Linked DNA regions of Astyanax mexicanus. The protein of the gene in region 1 interacts with the protein of each later gene in a biochemical or structural test. Links are inferred from orthologs where the notes say so. Each region holds a gene or a part of one and is shown on either strand. Other genes may lie near its edges.

Region 1 (10,549 bases):
TGCATATGCAATATTTAATATTACTGTTTAGAGTGTAAAATGAAGATTAAATGCATTTGGCCAAAATAAAACATTCAGGCTATTTGCACACATTATGAAGCTTGTTGTGTTGCTGCTCCTGCCTAAATAATTTATTTGACTACACTGCTATATATTTGAAATATTCTTAAACATCTTAATAAACTCCTTAAAACTACAGATAGTTTCTAGTTTTCCATTCCAATGTTATAACATTTGGAACATCTGCAAAACAGTAAAAAACATAAAGAATTTATTTGTCCTCCACAATTTTCCGACCTAAACCTGATTAACTGAGGCGATGACTTAGGATGAACTGGAGCACCTCAAGGAACTCCTTCAAGATGCTAAGAACTTTTGACTGAAATGCATATTAAGTTGAGCAGATTTCTGATTTGGGTTTGTAATTGTAATCCAGTACACAGCACATACGTTTTTAAAAATAGATGTGCCAAGAAGCAATATTTAAAATAATGAGTTAGAAAAGCAGTTTTTGCATTCTTGTTGTAAGTGAAATATGAGTTTAAAAATATTTCTCAAGTTTAAAGAACCTCCAAATAATGTAGGACTCTGTATTAACTTCCTAGAACCATCTATTTATTCAAGCCAAGAACCACTTGAAAACTATTTAGGAGCTGCCAGTGAAGTGTTGTAACAGTATGATGGGTTGGTGTGCTGTTTCAAAATGTGTAAATACTTCCTACTCCTACTTCCACTCTTTAGGTTGTGTATTTACTGAGGTTTAGAGATACCAGGCTATTGTGAGGTCAGAGATTTACAACTGTACTTTTCAATTCTACAACAGTTTAAAATGCGGTTTATGGCCCTGGTCCTGGAAGGCCCCTTGTCCTGCACACTGCACCAGTTTCCTCTGCTTTGACACGCCCACTTTACCTCAGTAAGAAATAAGGACTTGTTAATGAATTACATTGTTGGGTCAGGTGTGCTGGAAGCATTGATAGATAGGTATCTCCAAAACAGCTACTTTACAGGAGTGAGATAAAATCTACTTAACTTTAAATTAAAGTGAATGTAAAAATAGTTTATTTCAGGTCAATTTGGAGCATTTCTATTGGTCAATTTATTTTTAAGAAAGATTTTGACTTAATGTTTAAGAATATTGTGTTTGCAAATTGCCTTTGTGTTTGCCTTTATGTTGTCAAAATGCTTATGAACCACTCATTAACTAATTCAGAATAACTCATTTATCACTTGTGAAGATGATAATTGTTAGATTGTGAATTATGTTAAGACTATAATTTTGATTAAATAAATATTAATACATGTTAGTTTAGTTCGGCTTTAAATGAGTATTAAAAGTCATGTTGGCTGAATAAATAATAATTCACTAAACTATAATTTGCATTAAATTAATAGTAAAACTGTTAGAATGTTTTATAACAAATAAAACATTTAAGTGTTCGGCATTAATATATATTTCTTCTAATTAAAATTATTTTATTATGTGCATCTGATATATATATATATATATATATATATTTATTTTCCTTATGTAAATCCAATCTGACTTTCTAGGCCTTAATGAGGCTTTGTGGTGATGTCCAATGCATATATCATGTGATTACTTACGGCACAAAACTAATTTCTTCACATAAATACATTATAAATAATTTATAAAGTTGTAATGAAGTCTTCGCTTTCGGCCACTTTTACCCAATTTCAGTGCTGCTATTTTTCTTGTTTTTTCTTTTATGGGTATTCAAGGGTCAGATACGTCATGATGCATCAGTTGTGCCCTTCAAATCACTTCATTTCACTGCACTTTGCTGTATGTAAGGGCTCTACACTTTAAAACTGAGTTCCATTGTGTATCACAGAAACACTGCAGACCAACTCAGCTGCACCCTAGGCATTGGAACACATATCACATTTTAAACTGAAATTACTTTAATTATGATTAATTTATTCTCACCCAGAACCACAAGGGAAGTAGTGGCTGTAGTTTGGCCCACAGTATCTCCAGGAATATTAACTCGGCATTTGATTCGCCTGTTTTCTCTCAGGGTCGCTTGCTTCAGTGTCAGTGTAGAGACTCGAGTGTTCACATTGCTGTCAATCTGGATTTTGCCCTCATACATTGGATCAATGTCGACATGGTTGTCATTGGAGTAGAACGTCCCAAAATTAAGCTATATTGAAAGGGAGAAGAGATGCAGTTTTGTTATTTGCAAAGAACCTTTCTATAGTCATCTGTTTTCTAGGAAAACTCATCCAAATGTTTTTTTTTCACACTTACCCCTTCATCATCAAATGAGCCATCAGGGTCAGCAGTCCATGAGATGATAATGAGATTATTCACTGGGTTTTTGGGCTGAAAAGTGCATGTGATGGCAACTTGGTCACCTCGAGCAACTTTATATGTGGATTGTGGAATATTAACTTCCAACCCAAAAGAAGTAGAAATCACTACGGAGAAAGAAACCAAAAGAAACCACATGGCAGGTGTTTTATAACTTATTTTTTGTAAAAACACAGAGCAGGCAATGCCACACAACACAATACATTTCATTTCTCTTAAATGAAGGCCAAAGAACAACAGATCTACAAACAATGGACAGATAAGACAGAATGCATTCTAGTTTTTCCTATTCGTTTTTGACAATTCCTTCTCCAGATAACATCTATAACACCAGCCAGTATCCACCACTCTAAATGGAAATCCAATAGTCATTACATGCACCTTTAACACATAGCTAAAAAATTATTTCCTAAATACAGCTTTATAATGGCTTTCCATTTATTTATTCAGGTGTGTTTTATGGAACTTTGACATTTTACTACATTGTTAGAAAAAATGTTCTATAAATTGTAACACTTGCAAAACAATTTTTGGTGTTTTCCAAAAAAGTGTTCCATATTGTTACAAGATAGAGCTATATAAGGCCATGCTTGCTAACAGTATAGCCTTAAATAACATTCAAATGTATTTGTTAAAGAATCCTTAAACAACCCCAATTAGAAATAATACAGAACTTTTTGTAGCAAATTTTTAGTTGATATTCATATTAAAATGTATTAAAATCAAAGCAAAATTTGTTTTTAAAAAAGTCGTTTGGCCTATTTTGCCCTAGTACTTCCGCTCTTTACCTTTTGACCCACCCGATATTCAAAATGAATGAACATGATTATTTTTTTGGTTGATCTATGTGCTTTTTAAAACTTTCCTCTCTCTGTCTTTTTTTCTCAAATACATATATTTCCACTTCCATAACATATTCTGTATATTTTCGGTTATTTTTACATATTATTTACACATAAGGAAATGCTGCTTGTCCTTAACATTGTGTAAAGTGAAAGTGGTTAAAAATGGTCAAAAATAACTGAAAGAAAATATATTTTCATTGATGTAATACTGACTAATATATTTTAATGAAAACATAATTACTGAAATACTGCTGTCACATTTGAACAACAAAACCAAGAATTTTGTTGTTTAAAAAAAATTACATTCAATACCATATTCATTAATGATACAAAAAAATAATGTATTCTAATATTACCTGAAAACAGCACCCCAATCCCACAGATTCTCAGTTTCCGCTTGTCCATTCTGCTCTCTCTGGTCATTTTATTTCAGTCCTGTAACAGAATAAATACTTGACGGTTTGGTGTCTGCACACTTCCTTATGACTGCTGGGTCAATAGGTGTGACAAATAAAACGGCTCCATCTGCACACCCTCACCAGCCACACCTGTTCACCCTTTGGACTTTCAGTGAGCGTCCCTTTGAATTACTATAAAAACCACAGTACTGAAGTTGTTGTCTACTTTCTGAGCATAAGAATGAAATATAGCAAGAGTATAAGAGTTGTGCTCATGTACATAGAGCCAGGTTTGCCCTCAATGATGGATTCCATTGTCTTCAAACATTTAACAAATCCCAGAAAAGCAAATCATTTTAGCAACAATAAGTATCTGCAGGCTGTAATTACATTTGTAAGGTGCCCAAGCTTTGGCACAGACTTTAATTTGGTCATTGTATTACTGTATATAATAAATTAATAATAATTGTCATGAGAAAAAAGAAACTGTGTTTTATGTGTAACTTGCTGCAAAGGTTGCATTTACTATATATATATTTTAGTATACTTTATTTTTTTAGTTTCTTACTAAGTCATACACATTCATCTAGATATTCAAAGCTACACCTATTATTTTAAATTGCCTTTCTTTAAGGTCTTTATTTCTTACTAAAGACAGTGCATACTGTAAAGACAAAAAAAACATAAATATGCTTATATATGCTGTAAAGTCACTTTTCTACACTCACTTCTGCCAAGTTAAATATTTTCCAGTACTGTGTAGGCTAATGTTTGGCATGTGGAATAGTAATGAGCAGTGTATACTAATTAATATACACTGGGTAATGCTTGTTCGGTTGTCTGTAATCTGTTTATTCCCCCATATCCCCTATATAACAGTATTCAGGCTGCCTCATTGAGATACATTGTATTTTTCAGCAGTTTTTACCTCCAATTTCAGTCTAACACTCCTCATCAAGCCAAACAAGCCCTTCTGAAGAGATGAATGAGTTGGATCAGGTGGGGCATATTGAGGTTGGTGTTCTGAACGATGCATAAGCTGTTCTATCCAGCAGATGGCACTATATCATTGGTATCAATTATTATTATTTAGAAGTCTGAGCTAAGTCTAAAGTAATGAGTAAACTATGGAAATAAGTAAAATTGGTAAACTGAGCAATTAATCCAACCTTTTTTGGATAAACTCAAACCACTTGGATTTTAAAATTACATGTGCAATTGATTAAACAGCAAGAATAAATGTGGTTAAAAAAAAGGGTCAAAACAAAAGTCATAGGGACAGTGGACTCTTCAAAGCATTACTGACCATCAGTTAATTTTTACATTTCATTTGTAAATCAAGGGAGCAGAGTCTGGAGGAAGAGTGGAGACACACAGTCCAAGCTGCTTGAGATCTAGTGTGAAGTTTCCACCAATCAGTGATGGTTTGGAGAGACATGTCATATGCTGGTGTTGATCCACTGTGTTCTATCAAGTCCATAGTCAGTGCAGTTTTGTTTTCCCTCTTACAGCACTTTATACTTCCCTCTGCCGACAACTTTTATGATGCAGAGATGTAGATTTCATTTTCCAGCAGGACTTAGCATACTGCCCACACTGCCAAAAGTACCAATTGGTCTTATATAATATTTAAATTTTCTGAGACACTGATTTTTGGGTTTTCATTGGCTGTAAGCCATAATCATCAACAATAAAAGAAATAAACACTTAAAAGAATTTAACACTCTGTGTGTAATACATCTATATAATATATCAGTTTCAATGATATTCAAATATTTTGAGATGCACTAGTATGTTTTGGCCATTGGGTGGAGTTGAACTGTTGTGAACTCATCAGTTGCCTAAAGAATGGCATTTTACAGGAATGGTAAAGGTCAGGTTACACTATTGAAGACCAAAAACAGAAAACTTTCCACATTGTCTTTTTACAGGATTGCTGGACTGCAAAATACACTGCCTGGCCAAAAAATAAAAAAGTCGCCACCAAAAACTAATATTTAATTGGACCGCCTTTGGCTTTGGTTGCAGAATAAGAACACATTCATTGTTTTAATAAGATTCTGCAACATCACAAGATTTATTGAAATCCAGTGTCGCTGCATTAATTTTTCACCAAGATCTTGCAGTATTGATGATGGTAGAGTCTGACCGCTGCACAAAGCAGCTCTTCTCCATCCAGCACATCCCAAAGATTCTCAATGAGGTTAAGGTCTGGACTCTGTGGTGAACTCTCTCAATCCATGTGTAAAGAAAATTATGATCTCATGCTCCCTGAACCCTGAACTCTTTCACAAATCCAGCCCCATGAATCCTAGCATTGTCATCTCAGAATATGGCCGTGTTATCAATGAAGATGAAATCCATTGATGGAATAAGCTGGTCTATAATATTCAATATATTCAGGTAGTCAGCTTTCATTCTCATTCTTTCAGCACATACTGTTGTTGAACCTAAACCTGCAGAACAACTGCAGCATGAACCGCACATTTACATTGCATTCAGTAAACTTCTTTTATGGAGTGATGAGTATCCTGGTGTGTATGAGTGTGTGTGTGTGTGTGGAGGTTCATTCAGCATTCAGAGGTGTGTGAGAGAGTGTGAAGTTCACTGCCACTCTGTGTGTGTGTGTGTGTGTGTGTGTGTGTTGAATGGGGCGCTGCTGTTGCTGCTGCTGTTGGGCTGGGATCTGAGTTTAAATATTCAAAATGGCGGACGGAGGAGCAGCGAGTCAAGATGAGAGTTCAGGAGCAGGTAATCATTACTGCATTTTACATATTCATATTCATATTCAAACGCTCTTTCTCTCAAGCCCGTTAAGCGAGAGGGGAGCGCGTGAACAGAGCCCCCGGGGCCGCGGCGGCGGCGGGGTCGGGCTGTCTGTCGGCCGCTCGGTGCTGGGGAGCTGTCGGCGGTGTGAGGGGGAAAGTGGCGATGCTGGGCGACGGAGAATTAAAGGCGAAAATCCCCCTCTTTGTGTGATTAGAGCGGAGCTGCGCGACTTACATATTCATATTGCGGCCGGGAGAACGCGGTTTAGCATATTTTATTAGTAATCAGCGGCATCACAGCGGGTTAGTATTATTATTGTTATTTACTCCGGTCCCAGTCCGAGCCCGCGGTTGTGGGGTATTATCCCCCCGGTGTCGGGGCACAGAGAGAGGGAGAGAGAGGGAGCCGGGCGGCCGGTGTTCTGTCGAGTTGTGCTACCCTGGCAAACCATGCTACTCTAGTGTAATTATATTTAAACGTAAAAATGCAAGAAAAAGACCCCCCAAAAAAATGCCTCGCTTGGAAAGCTTGAATCAGCATATAAGGACACAGTTTAAAGTTAACGTTAAGTTAATAGGGGTGATATGCATAACCAGTAACGTATTTTTGTATTTAATGTTATATTTAATAGTTTTTTATTATTATTCTTTTTATTATTATCAACTTTTTATTATTATCCTCATTTACACAGTTGTAATACTCTATACTAATACTGGCAGGTGCGTCTGGTTGTTTAACACACCCAGTTAGAACAGAATTGCTATTAAAAACATACAAATAAAAATAAAAAAGTGGTTCCACGCATGCGCACTGGTGTTGAGAAGCACATTTCGATGAATAGCACAACTTGGCAGGACACCGGCGCTACGCTAACGCTAAGGCTAATGCTAATGCTAATACGGCGGCTTTGTGTGTTTGTGTATTGTGTGCTGGGAGCCTATGGCTGATAAAAGCTTTGCATATTCATTTCCTCGCAATCGCTCGGCGTCTGCGCGCAGTGTTTACAACCGTAAATGTGATCTGCCGAGCGGCGGAGGGCTGCTCGGTGCGGGCTGAAGGACAGGGGAGCTTCTAAGGCTGATTTTATGTCCATATTTTGTCTTCTGCCTTTGTGTCCCACTGCAGCAGGAGAAGCAGGCGTGTGGCCCCGTTGTGTGTATATAGCTATATGTGTGTGTTAGCTAACCTAGCTTAGCTAACTAGCTATTCATGTGGGCCTGTTGTTGTTGGCTGTTACGTTAAAGACAACAGATGTGCAGACACTTAAATTAATTTAGCTTAAAGAAAAAGGCCTGCATTTATCGTAAACCTGTCTTTCAAAGGCCTTACAATTTCATCGACAGTAAACACTACTTAGGATTCATTTTGTCTAGTTATATTTCGCAGTTTTTCTATTTGATATGCAAGTTAGCTAAGTTATCTTACTTATTTAGTTAGTTAGTAGCTAATAACTGAACTATCTTTTTATATTAAGGGTTATTAAGCCTAAATGTAATGAAAACTGGTTACAAAGCCCCAGTTTTGCACCGAACCTTGTTTAATTGTATTACCTAGGTTATATGAACTTCCAGTCCCATTTTTGTTTGTGCAGCAGTGTGAACCTAGCCAACTAGTTAATTAACAAACTAATATTTAATATATTGGTCATCAATAAATGCAGGAAAGACTTATTATAAAGGCTGAAACGAATGTCTAGTAATTTTGGGGTTGTGAAAGTGGTCTTAATTTCGTCTTTGATTTTATTCCCCCATACCTGCAGATAAGGGGTGGGCAATATTATATCGTATGCAATATATCGTGACACAGAAATAACATATGAAAAATCCATATCGTGATAATAGGGCTGTTCTGTCTTAAAAGTAGTCTATTATTTACTGTGAAGCGTTAGGTGTATTATTGTATATTTGTTTTAGTTTGCAGTTTATATGCATGCACTAAATATTCTGCAGTATTATTTGCTGCATAATATGTTCTTGTGCACTGGTAAGCTTATCTGGCTACAAGACCCATTTTTGTTTGTGCAGCACTGAATTAACTAGTTAACCTATTTTTTTAGACATTGGTTTATCAGATGATGCAGGGAAATATTATTATAAAGGTTGTAAACTAATGTGAGGCATACTAATGCTGGGTTTGTTAAAGTGGTCTTAATTTTCTCTGTGTTAAAAAGTCCAAATTCTTTAATTTCTTTCCCCCATACCTGCAGATAACATGTAGTTAGAGCAGATAAAGACTACAGAGCAGATACTGTTCAGAATATTCACACTGAATAACTAGCTAAATCCCACAATGACACACTCCCAGATTAGCTATTTATCTATCTATGCCTAAACAGCTAGAATAACAGCTAACTACATTGGCTAGCCTCTCTTGTCTCTCTTTGTGTTGGTGGATATTCACCTTTTAAAAACAATTGTAACACTACATTGTTTACACCAGGCCAAGCTAGTAGAGCCAAATTAAAAGGTGGGCTAAATAGGTTGTAGCTAGCTTAGCCCATTTCATGGGTATGTATACAGCTGACTAAACAGTTCATTGAGTTTTCTGCAGGCGTTTTAGCCAATATCTGGAGTAGGTTATGCTGCCAGTGAGCTGGGCTCTATTGCCCTATTGTAGCCGGGCAGCTGTTGCTGCTGCTGCATATGTAGCAGGCCAGCTAGCGGCTGAATGAATTTCATTAACTTAGGCCTGAGCAGCCTGGACAAGAGGCAAGCAGTCCACTCGCTTCAGTTTCACGCTTGTTTCTTGCTGATACAGCAATATACAGGCCTTTTTTGACTCCCTATATCCTATCCTTTTTTCCTTAAATTCTACATTTTCAGGCACCAAAATTAAACTAATACACAAATGCATTTAAGATGGACTGTTAAGTGAGCTAACTAAGCCAAATTTAGCTTTACAAGCACATTCAAGTCTTGTAGCCAAGTTTGTAAAACGTTTGCTGTATGTGTTTTACTTCCATAACATAGATTACAATTTTATTCAAAAACCCAAACAAAATACATTAACATGAATTAATTCATCGCTGTTTTACATTTTACAAGCCTCTTTATACTTATAAATGCTTATTGTATTTGAGTATCATCTGAGGGTTTTTCTTTCTTTTATTATTTATTTATTATTATTTTTTTTTTACATTTTGCTGTCTTCTCTTTTTTTGCCCCACATTTCACATCTCGCCATCATTTTAATATCCTTGGTGTTGTAGCCTAGCATGGACATTTGGCTGATTTATTGTAACAGTTCACTGACTTTTGCCTCTTTCTCTTTCTTTTCTCTTTTCTCATGTTTTTAAAGTGTGTCTGTTGCTCTCCTGTAGCTGCATGGGGGAGGTGTTGGTTTGCGATTAAAGAATGCATAGGCTTAGGCCCATTAGCCTAGGGCCTCATTAGAAAGTCTAATGGGACGTGCCAGGAAAAAAAAAAGAGAGCCGCTGTCCCGAAGGTAACGCGTAGACCTGCTCTGCTCAGAAAGATGTTCTTTTATGTTTGTATCGAGCCCGGCCTGTGAGAAGCTGTGGCAAGCTGAAACACGTCTGTGTGTTGCGTTAATAACTTATTGCTGTGCATGAACAACTGAGGTGGATTTCAGTCATGTTTTTGTTGCATGTAACTGGGGAGGGAGTGTTTCAAAGCTGCCTGTAAGAGCTGAAAACAAGTGGCAGCCCCATTACTGAATGATCTGAAAGACTCAAACAAAAGCCTCCCAAAATTAATAGACTGAGGGATGAATGAAACCAATACCCAGGAACACAGCAGCAAATCTAGCTTTTATCAGTGAGAAATAGCAGCATAGCTGTGTGTAGTTTTAGAAACTGTGGTACTGTATTGTATTACAGTATTTTAGTACATTAGTTCATGTTTTGACACAACAAACATGCTTTAGTGGCCATACTTAGTACCATTCAGTGATTTTTATTTACATTGTGCGGCATTACAAACAATTAAATTGGACAAATCTCACATTCACTGTAATGAAGCATGCTTCATGCTTCTTTATTCATTGACAAAACCCATTATGTACTCACAAAGTATATTCTGCATCATGCTAACAAAATACTGTCACATTCCCCACAATAATTGTGGTTTAAAATGAGTTAATAAAGTGTTTTCTATTTCTATTGATGCTCTGTTCACAGTAAGACTAGATTAGAGGGCACCGCAGACAGTACATACAGAGAGCTTGTTTAATTATGAATT
Region 2 (10,230 bases), on another chromosome or scaffold:
GCAACTGCTGCACTTGACACGGGGTCCCATAACTTTTGGCATGTCAGTGTGTACGAGTGTGTTTGTGTTTATATATATATATATATAATATTAGAATAAATACAGACATTATTAAGGTTTTAGCTCACAGAATATCAGCTGTTTTATTCAAAATGAAGAATTCTTATTACCTTAAACTGCATGTAAGTTTATTTCCATTTGTTCTTTTGTGATGTGTGCTTTGCAGGCAAATGTTATTTAGCTGAAATTGCTAAAATAAATGCTTAAGGTGCCCATAAACGTTTCCACATTACTGTACACTGTACATGGTTTTATACGTTAATGAAAGATGTACATAATTTAAAATGAAATGTGTTCAGAGATCAAATATAGGAATAGTAATATAGTAGTACTGTGGTTTCATTTTATAATCACAAATAGTAAATCATAACTAAGTTCTTTTAAGTATAGAGATGAATTATAGTCACGTATATACAATTAACTTTTACAATTAGTGTTTTGTATATCATTTAACAATAAAAATAGTTTTCCTTTGATCACTTTTCATTTAACACTGGAATACTAGTGCATCTCAAAAAGTTAGAATATCATTGAAAAGTTACTTTATTTCAGAAACTCATATATTAAATAGATATATATCGCCTACAAGGTGATGACAGAACAGGCTCCTTCCTACCTGCACTCGCTCCTGAAGGCTTACGCTACCTCCCGGCCGCTGCGCTCCTCCAATGAACGTCGCCTCGCTTTACCAAACAAACATTCACACAAAGCAATCCAGACTGTTCTCATACAGAGTTCCCCAATGGTGGAACAAACTACCTTCTACTACCAGATCAGGAGAATCTCTCGCTATCTTTAATAAACTCCTGAAGACAGAGCTCTTCAAAGAGCTAATACTCTCCTAACACCTCTAACTAACTACCTTCTACTACCAGATCAGGAGAATCTCTCGCTATCTTTAAGAGACCCCTGAAGACAGAGCTCTTCAAAGAGCTAATACTCTCCTAACACCTCTAACTAACTACCTTCTACTACCAGATCAGGAGAATCTCTCACTATCTTTAATAAACTCCTGAAGACAGAGCTCTTCAAAGAGCACTTACTCTCCTAACACCTCTAACTAACTACCTTCTACTACCAGATCAGGAGAATCTCTCACTATCTTTAATAAACTCCTGAAGACAGAGCTCTTCAAAGAGCACTTACTCTACTAACACCTCTAACTAACTAACTACTTCTAACCTCATTTCCTTCTTCCCCTCCTTCACTCCTCTATCCAATTATTCCCCTTTGACCTCCTTTTATCCCTATCCAAAGATGTTTTTACCTTTAAACTTATTTTACATTGTACTTGACTATTGTAAGTCGCTTTGGACAAAAGCGTCTGCCAAATGTAATGTAATGTAATGTAATATATTACACACAGAGTGATCTACGTATGGCTTACAGCCAATGAAAACCCCAACATCTGTGTCTTAGAAAATATGAATATTATATGAAACCAACTGGTACTGTGTGCCAAGTCCTGCTGGAAAATGAAATCCACGTCTCCATAAAAGTTGTTTTCAGCAGAGAGAAGCATGAAGTGCTGTAAGATTTTGTGGGAAAACAAAACTGCACTGACTTTAGACTTGATAATAAAGACTTGGAGAGACATTTCATCTGCTGGTGTCGGGTTTTCAACTATAAAATAAACACATGCTTAACATAGATCTGTGTTCACATTTTTAATGGAATTACTGATATAAAGCAACTTTTCAATGATATTTTCAATATAATATTTTGACATGCACTAGTATGTTGTGTATGCATCATCCACACTCCTTTCCTCACTGAGGAAAAGCTTCACAGCTGGGATTGGGATCGTTGAGAAATAGGCAGTATTGGGTTTGCGCCCTGCAGCATTTCAAATCTTCTTGTCTCATTTGTCCTGAACATCTCATCCCTGGGTCACTTTTTAAATACTGAAGAACTTTACATGGAATTATGTTTTCTTTGCTTGATGTATGTCAGTAGATTAACCTTTCTAAAACAGATTAACTTGGCTTTTTTATTTGTGTTTCCCATTACCACAGGATGAACAGTTAAGGGATACATATGGAATTATGTAGTAAACAGTATAAAAAGTGTTAATCCTCCACATTAATCCCCTGATCTAAACCTGATCAAATAAAATAGTGATCTGGGATGAGCGGGAACTTGCCAAGATGCCAATATGCATGAAAACTGTGATTAAAAACCAGGGTTATTCCCTCAAATGAATAAAAACATTGAATAACAAGGTGTGTCCAAAATTGGCCTGGTGCTGTAATAAAAGTCTCAACTAAAAACTATGAATAATGATCAGAATTTTAATAATACAGTAAATTTCCTTCATATTCCAACACATTGCAGTATAACATGTTCTACACAGTATTTAAAGATAGACCAACAAAGTAACTGCGTGTATTTTTTACATTATTGATTATGTGGTGCTTAAAATAATGTAAACAGGATAAACAGTTAAGGAGTACATATGGAATTACATATTAAACAGTAAAAAAAAGTGTTAATCCTCCACATTAATCCCCTGATCTAAACCTGATCAACTGAGATAGTGATTTGGGATGAGCTGGAGCCCGCCAACATGCCAATATGCATGAAAACCGTGATTAAAAAACCAGAGTTATTCCCTCAAATAAATAAAAACATTGAATGACAAAGTGTGTCCAAAAATTGGCCTGGTGCTGTAATAAAAGTCTCAATAAGAATATTGATCAGAAATTTGATTAATTAGGAAAAATAAGCTATGTGATACAAATACAGTTCATTTCCTTCATATTCCAACACACTGCAGTATACCATGTTATAACACAGCATTTAAAAATAGACCAACAAAGTAACTGCGTGTATTTTTGACATGAATGACTACAGGTATGTGGTGCTTAAAATATGCCAATTTGCATGAAAACTGTGATTAAAAACCAGAGTTATTCCATCAAATAAATAAAAACATTGAATGACAAGGTGTGGCCAAAAATTGGCCTGGTACTGTAATAAAAGTCTTAACTAAAACACTATAAATAATTATCAGAATTTTGATCAATTAGGACAAATAGGCCGTTATAAATACAGTACATTTCCTTCATATTCCAACATATTGCAATGCACCATGTTTTACACAGTATTTAAAGATATGCCGCGTGTATTTTTGACATTAATGATTATGTGTCACTTTAAATAATGTGTGTTCACACTTCACTTCTAGATGACATGTTTTAAGTGATCTCTGCAACACTTCTGCTGGCAGATTCCTCCCAGCCCTGATCCCCGAGGGCAGCCTGAAGGGGCTTTCACTGCTTAATCTCTGTCTAATCTTCTAAAGCCATATATTACCTGCACCTACACTGCTGTGCTGCTTTGGTCAGACGCAGCTCCAGACTGCAGAATGTGAAATCCTCACCCTGAACAGCACAGGCAGTGAGTTCCCGCGTGGAGGGCCAGCTGCGTGTGAGCACTTGTGAGCACTTGTGACCAGGAACTGTGTCTCTTCTCTGAACAATGTGACACTCTTTACTGGTGGCTCCAGGCGTAAAGCTGGAAAATGATAGGTTTATGATAACGTACAGCTGCATTAAAGGTCAGGGGGTTGAGTGTGGGTCACTGGGTGCTTGACCTTATTGTTTGTGGGTCGTTTAGTAATGGTAGTGAATGTACTGGACGCTACCCTGAAGGGAGTAAACAGTATATCACAGGTAGTGTTGTGACAAGATAACTGTGCACGTTGCACTTTGATGGATTGCTTTGACGTCTTACTTTGTATCCACTGAGGCCTATGGAAATTGCATCAGTTGCATCTTTTTGCATCAAGCCACCGCTGTAGTTTGCATTAGACAATGCTTGTTTAAATGCATCAGTTTTTTAGGAAGCTACAGTAGTGTATTTTTCATTTTGTATTGAGCGCCATGGAGAAAGGCTGTTCTACCGTAACCATAACCTGATATAGATGCAGTAAGTTCTGTATTTCCTTACTTTTCTCTGTTCATTATTATTGTTCTCTGTTAATTGTTAAGGGTAACCCAGTGGAAATGACCATGGAATACAAAGAGCAATGCTAATTATTAGAAAGTGGTTTGTTCTGATGTAACAATATATATATATATATATATATATGATTAATGGCTCAATTAACAATAAATTTAAATGTAACCATTAACAGGCCAGGACTTTTGGCAATTGTCTGCTTGACGTTACACCACTAAATCTTGAGGATTTCTATTCAAGCATTACATAAAAAGCTTTCATGTTTGATAAGAAACATTACTGGAAATCATAATTGTAATTGAAACAAAAAATAAAAAAATATATTTAAGTAAATCTACTAATGTCAAAATAATGAAGTTTCCTGTTTCATTTTAAAATCAGTATTTTCCTGAATACAAATCAAACAGTTTACATCCTCCAAACCTTTAATTTCATTATATTTGTCTAGTTTTTTCGTCTGTTTCAAACCTGAAACCGGAATCATTAAGTGGAGTAGAGAGAAAACAGGCAGCTTCTCCAAGTGTCCTGTAGGAGATTTAAAAACCCTCAATTTTTTTAGAGTGTAAATTATTATTTAGTAATTTTACTGCAGAAAAAAGTATTCTGTATCACCTACACCTGTAGCCTGTATGCAGGACACGGCATGTTAAGGGGTTAAGTGATAAATGTACTATGCTGGATGCTGTGTCAATACTGTCTTGTTCCTGGTCTTGATCGTCTGTTATTTTGCTCTTTTTAAGCCGGGCCTTGGGTTTGTTGGTGCTAAATTAAAATTGAGAAGAGCTGGGACAGGAAACACGGTGATGATCAGATGGTCAGTGAACCTTAAACTCTGAGCAGGTGCTTCCTTTTCGATACTGATAAATCCACTGGCCTGGCAGTTTCAGCTCAGCTCCAAAACTCTCACAAACGTAATTTGGGCAGCAGATTCAAACAACTCATGATCATTTTAAATCATACAATATGTTAAATAGATTTCCATGTTCTCAACTTCTATAAAAAAGTTGGGATACTCTGAAAAATGTGTAAAATGAATGTGAATAATAACAAACTGCAATGAATCGTAATTCTCATAGACCCACACTTCATTCAGAGTATAACATAAACACAAATCAGATATCAGTTTAAAGTGAGACATTTTATACTTTTTCCATTTCTTGAAAAGCATTGACTCATTTAGAAATGAAAAAAAATTAAAAAACCCAAAAATCAGTGTCTCAGAAAATTTACTTTTGGCAGTGTGGGCAGTGTGCCAAGTCCTGCTGGAAAATAAAATCCGCATCTCCATAAAAGTTGTTTTGAGCAGAGGGAAGCATGAAGTGCTGTAAGATTTTGACTTTAGACTTGATAATAAAACACAGTGGATCAACACCAGCAGATGACATGTCTCCCTCTGTCCAAACCATCACTGATTGGTGGAAACTTCACACTAGACCTCGAGCAGCTTGGACTGTGTGTCTCTCCACTCTTCCTCCAGACTCTGCTCCCTTCGTTTAAAAATGAAATGTAAAATTTACTGATGATCAGTGATGGTTTGGAGACACTGTTTTTTGGGGGTTTTCATTGTCTGTAAGCCATAATCATAATCATCAACAATGAAAGAAAAAACACTTAAAATAGATCACTGTGTTTAATACATCTATATAATATATGAGTTTCACATTTTGAACCTGAGGTCTAGTGTGAAGTTTTTTTCACAATCAGTGATGGTTTGGAGAGACATGTCTGTCATCTGCTGGTGTTGATCCACTGTGTTAAATCAAGTCCAATGGTGCCATGGTGGCAGTAGCCACAGCACTGCCCAGCTTTACTACTGCTGTCACTTCTTATTCAGTAGATAAATCAAATCACTGTGATAGACCTGCTTACAACTGGTCTGGATAAAAAACATTTCAGATTTCCTAAAGCTAGAATACTGTGTAAGTTCTTGAGTCCTTATTAAAATTAAACAATGTTGAGTTTGGTCTGAATGCTGTAATGTGTTTAATGTTACGCTAAAGATCTCAGCACTCTTAAAAAAGGACAGCACAAGACATTTAAATTAAGTGGGAAACTGGTGCTTCTGCATCTTGGTGACATCACTTGAAACTGCATTGCTGCAGCTTTTATAAAGCAGCTCACTCAAGCAATCGATGCTGAATTCTGAGGCGAGCGTGCGCACATTCGGAAAGAAAATCTGAATGCTTACACAATAACCAAATCTTTTTTTGTTTTTTGCAAATCAGAGTATGCACATGGGAAAATGTAAGTACAATTTATGATTACATATTTACTGCAAAAGAGAAAAGATTAAATGCAAATTTTGGGCAGTTTTAAAACACTTTTTAAAGCCAAAAAACTTAAAAATAGGTAAATATGTTTATTTATTCTACAAAAGTACATTTAAACAAAATATTGAGATATAAAGGCATATTTTTAGCTAAAGAAAAATTCACACTGTTTTAATTTCTTATTATATATCTACTAGAGACAGATTATATCTGTCCAGTATCATTTATTTTACTTTAATACTTTAATCCTGGATATATGGAGATATTTGGAGTGCATTATTATTAGTATCGTGACATTCTGGATCAAAATTCTGGTAAAATTCTTGTATTTTTTCTTGTATTTTTTAATATCTCAGTTAGGGGTGTGCCACATCATATCGTATGCAATTATTTATTTAAATTTTCATTTTGTTGCAGAAGTGTATTCTTGAAATTTAATTCAGTGTTTTTCAGTTTTGGTGTTATATGGCCAAGAGTATCATTATCGTGAAAACAGCATTAAAAATAATGTTGATAATGTGTTAAAGCACTTCAGAATTTGGTATTTCATAAACAATTCTATTTAAAAATGACATGGGTTATGTAAATGAATCTAAAATCTTGGTGCAGGTTTGATTGGTTAGACACCAAATCTAACCAATATAGGTTCTTGATCTTGATGTTAATTTTTAATATTCAAAAATTCATTAAAGCTTTGTAGCTATTGGTGGCATCGTGCCGGACACAATTCTATATACTTAATTTTACTTTTTATTTTATTATAGAAATTTAGTTTGCAAATTTTTGAACACTGATTGCAAACATTTGATATTTAGTATAAACAGTGATGGGAATAACGGCGTTGAAATAAATGGGGACAAGTAACACAAAAGTAACGCAATAGTTACTTTTACTGGTAACTAGTTACTTTTATAGTGGAGTAACTTAGTTACTTTTTGGGAGAAGTAACTAGTAACTGTAATTAATTACTTTTTCAAAGTATTGTGCCCAACACTGAGTATAAAGGAGAATTTCTGACTTGAACAACCAATGATTTATGAAGAAAAATTATGAAAATGATCAGAAAAGCCCAACATTTTTCATATCACTGTTTTTTATCACTTTATTAAAACATTCCATAACCAGTTTTTTTTTTTTTAGCCCATATTCATTTCATTGCTTGTTCCTACAGCACCCAGATGGTCAGCTGGTGCTGCTTGTTTTATTTCCAGCAGTAATAATTAACCCTGTGCAGTTGTGGAAGTGGTTATATTCAGTTTGTCTGGATCACGCAGGCGTGGTAATGCGCCGTGTTTTATTGTGGTGTGATAATAAAACCGTGAGTAGTGATGAGCTTATCGTTTGAGAGTCCTCTCGCTCTCGGCGGAGGTGTTAAACACCCTGCAGAGCAGTCCTGCTCTGGAGGGGTGAGGGGTGGATGGGGGGAGGTTGGTGGTTTAATCTTGGTATGCAAAACAGCACAATTGTCTCTCTTCTGCATAAAAAAAAGAAGTCTTCACAGCTGCAGAGCTTCCTCTTTTTGAACCCCCTGAAATCCTGCTGTGCTTGTATTGTGCCGCCAGACTGCAGTTATTCAGAGCTACTGTTGACCCACAACTTACAGAGCTTTAGTTTGGTGGTTTGCTTGTTTTTTAAGGTGACTGGATTTAAAAACGTTAAATTACATGTATTATTTTTTGTGATTTCCAAGGCAGTTCTGCGCTCAACTGTGATTTCCACCATGATTTCTTCATAGAAATGCACAACCACAAATCAAAAATGAAAAAAATATATATAATAATCTATTAACATGCATGGACCCATATAAGAGCTACAGGTGTCTGCAGTAAAATAATTTAAAATATTTACACTCTAAAACTTTACGGGCTGCTATTCTAACTTTAAATCTCCTTCAGGACACTTGAAGAAGCTGCCTTCATTAATAATTCCAGATCAGTAACAGGAGTCAACACAAATTCTGCATGTTTGAAAATAGACATAAAAAAACGAAAGTAAAGGTTTGGAGACATAAACTGTTTGATTTGTGTTCATTTAAAAAAATATATTGATTTTAAAATTAAGTTCAAGAAAGAGCCAATTAAAAAAAAAAGGTTTTGTTCTTAAGGGCTTTATTTTTTTCTCTTACATTACTTTTACTTTTATACTTTTAAGTAGTTTTGAATCCAGTACTTTTTTAAACACTTTTACTTAAAGAGTAAAAAGCTTGAGTTGATACTTCTTCAACTTCTACAGAAGTATTTTAAACCCCAGTATCTATACTTTTGGCTTATTTTGTCACTGACTGAATTCTTCCACCATTCCAAATTTATTGCAACCATCCTAATATACACATACATTAGGGGTGTCACGATTCCGATACTTTCGATACGCGGACATTGTGACTGCTCAAAGAGCTGCCCTTTCTCCAGAGAATGTGGACATTCTCATCTTCTTAAAGAAAAACTTGAACATATAAAAATAACAGTTGTTTTGTCTAGCCTCAAATATGTTAATAGTTTTGGTACCTTAAGGAGCATCTTTCTCTCAGATAAAGTTAATAATATATCTTTATTAAAGAAAAAAACTTGTCATTCTCAGGGACCGAAAAAGTCTTAAAGTCTTATTTTTAATGTTTAACTGTTATAGTAGGATAGAGTTCAGTTTGTTAAGGCTCTAATTGTTCTATTATTTTGTACATGACTGTTCCTGTATGTTTTTATTATTTATTTTGTTATGTTGCACATTGCTGTTTTAATAGTGCACACTGCTGCTACCAAAAAAAGCCACTAGATGGCATTACATATATATCTTAATTAAATTATTTAAATTTGAGCATTAGTGCCTAATGTGGTGTATTACAGATCACTTGAATCACTTTGCATCACTTATATCAAGCCCACCTTTTAAAATAAGATATTGTAAATTGGATGAATCAAACCAATGACTGACCATAGACTAATCTAAAACTAGCATAGGCCTCTCTGCTGTTAGAAAAAGAAAAAAGAAAAATCGAGAATTTAATCGAATCGTGATCTTAAAATCGGAAATAAAATCGAATCGAGGATTTAGAGAATCGTCACAACCCTAATATACACGCACAACCACAAATCAAAAAAGCCAATTTAGGAAAAATGCACAGTGTTTCTTACATTTCATTTGGCTTTTATTTAAGTGCAGACAATAATAACCCAAGATATTATATTGTTGTGTGTTATGTTGTAGTGTTTAACACAGCTTTACTAAAGCAATCCCTTGCCCATGTGGTTCTATCAGCAAGAGGAGGTAACAGGGATTCTTAGGCTTAGACTTCCCAATTCCTTGAATAGTTTAATGATATTAAGGGATGTATAGGGAAAAATACATACATCTCTTCAAATCATTATTTAAGGTTCCTTAAACTCTTTTGTGGATACTGCTTTTGCACCAAATCAAATGAATGTCCTCTATATCAACTTTTTATGAAATTTAATCGCAGAATTCTGGAATGGATGTACAGTTCTGTAAAAAAAAATTGAGACCACTTAAAATGATGAGTTTCTTTGATTTTACCAAATTGAAAACCTCTGGAATATAATCAAGAGGAAGATATATGATCACAAGCCATCAAACCAAACTGAACTGCCTGAATTTTTACACCAGGAGTAAAGCAGCATAAAGTTATCCAAAAGCAGTGTGTAAGACTGGTGGAGGAGAACATGATGCCAAGATGCATGAAAAAAAAAACTGTGATTAAAAACCAGGGTTATTCCACCAAATATTGATTTCTGAACTCTTAAAACTCTTTAAGAATATGATCTTGTTTTCTTTGCATTATTTGAGGTCTGAAGGCTCTGCATCTTTTTTGTTATTTCAGCCATTTCTCATTTTCTGCAAATAAATGCTCTAAATGAGAATATTTTTACTTGTAATTTGGGAGAATTGTTGTCTGTAGTTTATAGAATAAAATGTTCATTTTACT

The links.
Region 2: the proteins of pou2f1b (region 1) and POU domain class 2-associating factor 1 are reported together in a solved structure, tested with the Homo sapiens proteins (2 studies listed by BioGRID, with this or other methods). The link is inferred for Astyanax mexicanus from reciprocal best matches to the Homo sapiens genes POU2F1 and POU2AF1.

Annotation. Positions count from the first base shown.
Region 1 is NC_064418.1:5,046,385-5,056,933, reverse strand, and holds the start of pou2f1b (POU domain, class 2, transcription factor 1b), read left to right. Parts: upstream 1-6,222; 5' UTR 6,223-6,286; coding exon 6,287-6,332; intron 6,333-10,549. Other genes in the region: gpa33b (cell surface A33 antigen), read right to left, coding at 1,952-2,168, 2,276-2,445, 3,540-3,606. UniProt on the Homo sapiens protein: Transcription factor that binds to the octamer motif (5'-ATTTGCAT-3') and activates the promoters of the genes for some small nuclear RNAs (snRNA) and of genes such as those for histone H2B and immunoglobulins.
Region 2 is NC_064425.1:6,053,336-6,063,565, forward strand, and holds the start of POU domain class 2-associating factor 1, read left to right. Parts: upstream 1-6,123; 5' UTR 6,124-6,251; coding exon 6,252-6,267; intron 6,268-10,230. UniProt on the Homo sapiens protein: Transcriptional coactivator that specifically associates with either POU2F1/OCT1 or POU2F2/OCT2. It boosts the POU2F1/OCT1 mediated promoter activity and to a lesser extent, that of POU2F2/OCT2. It recognizes the POU domains of POU2F1/OCT1 and POU2F2/OCT2.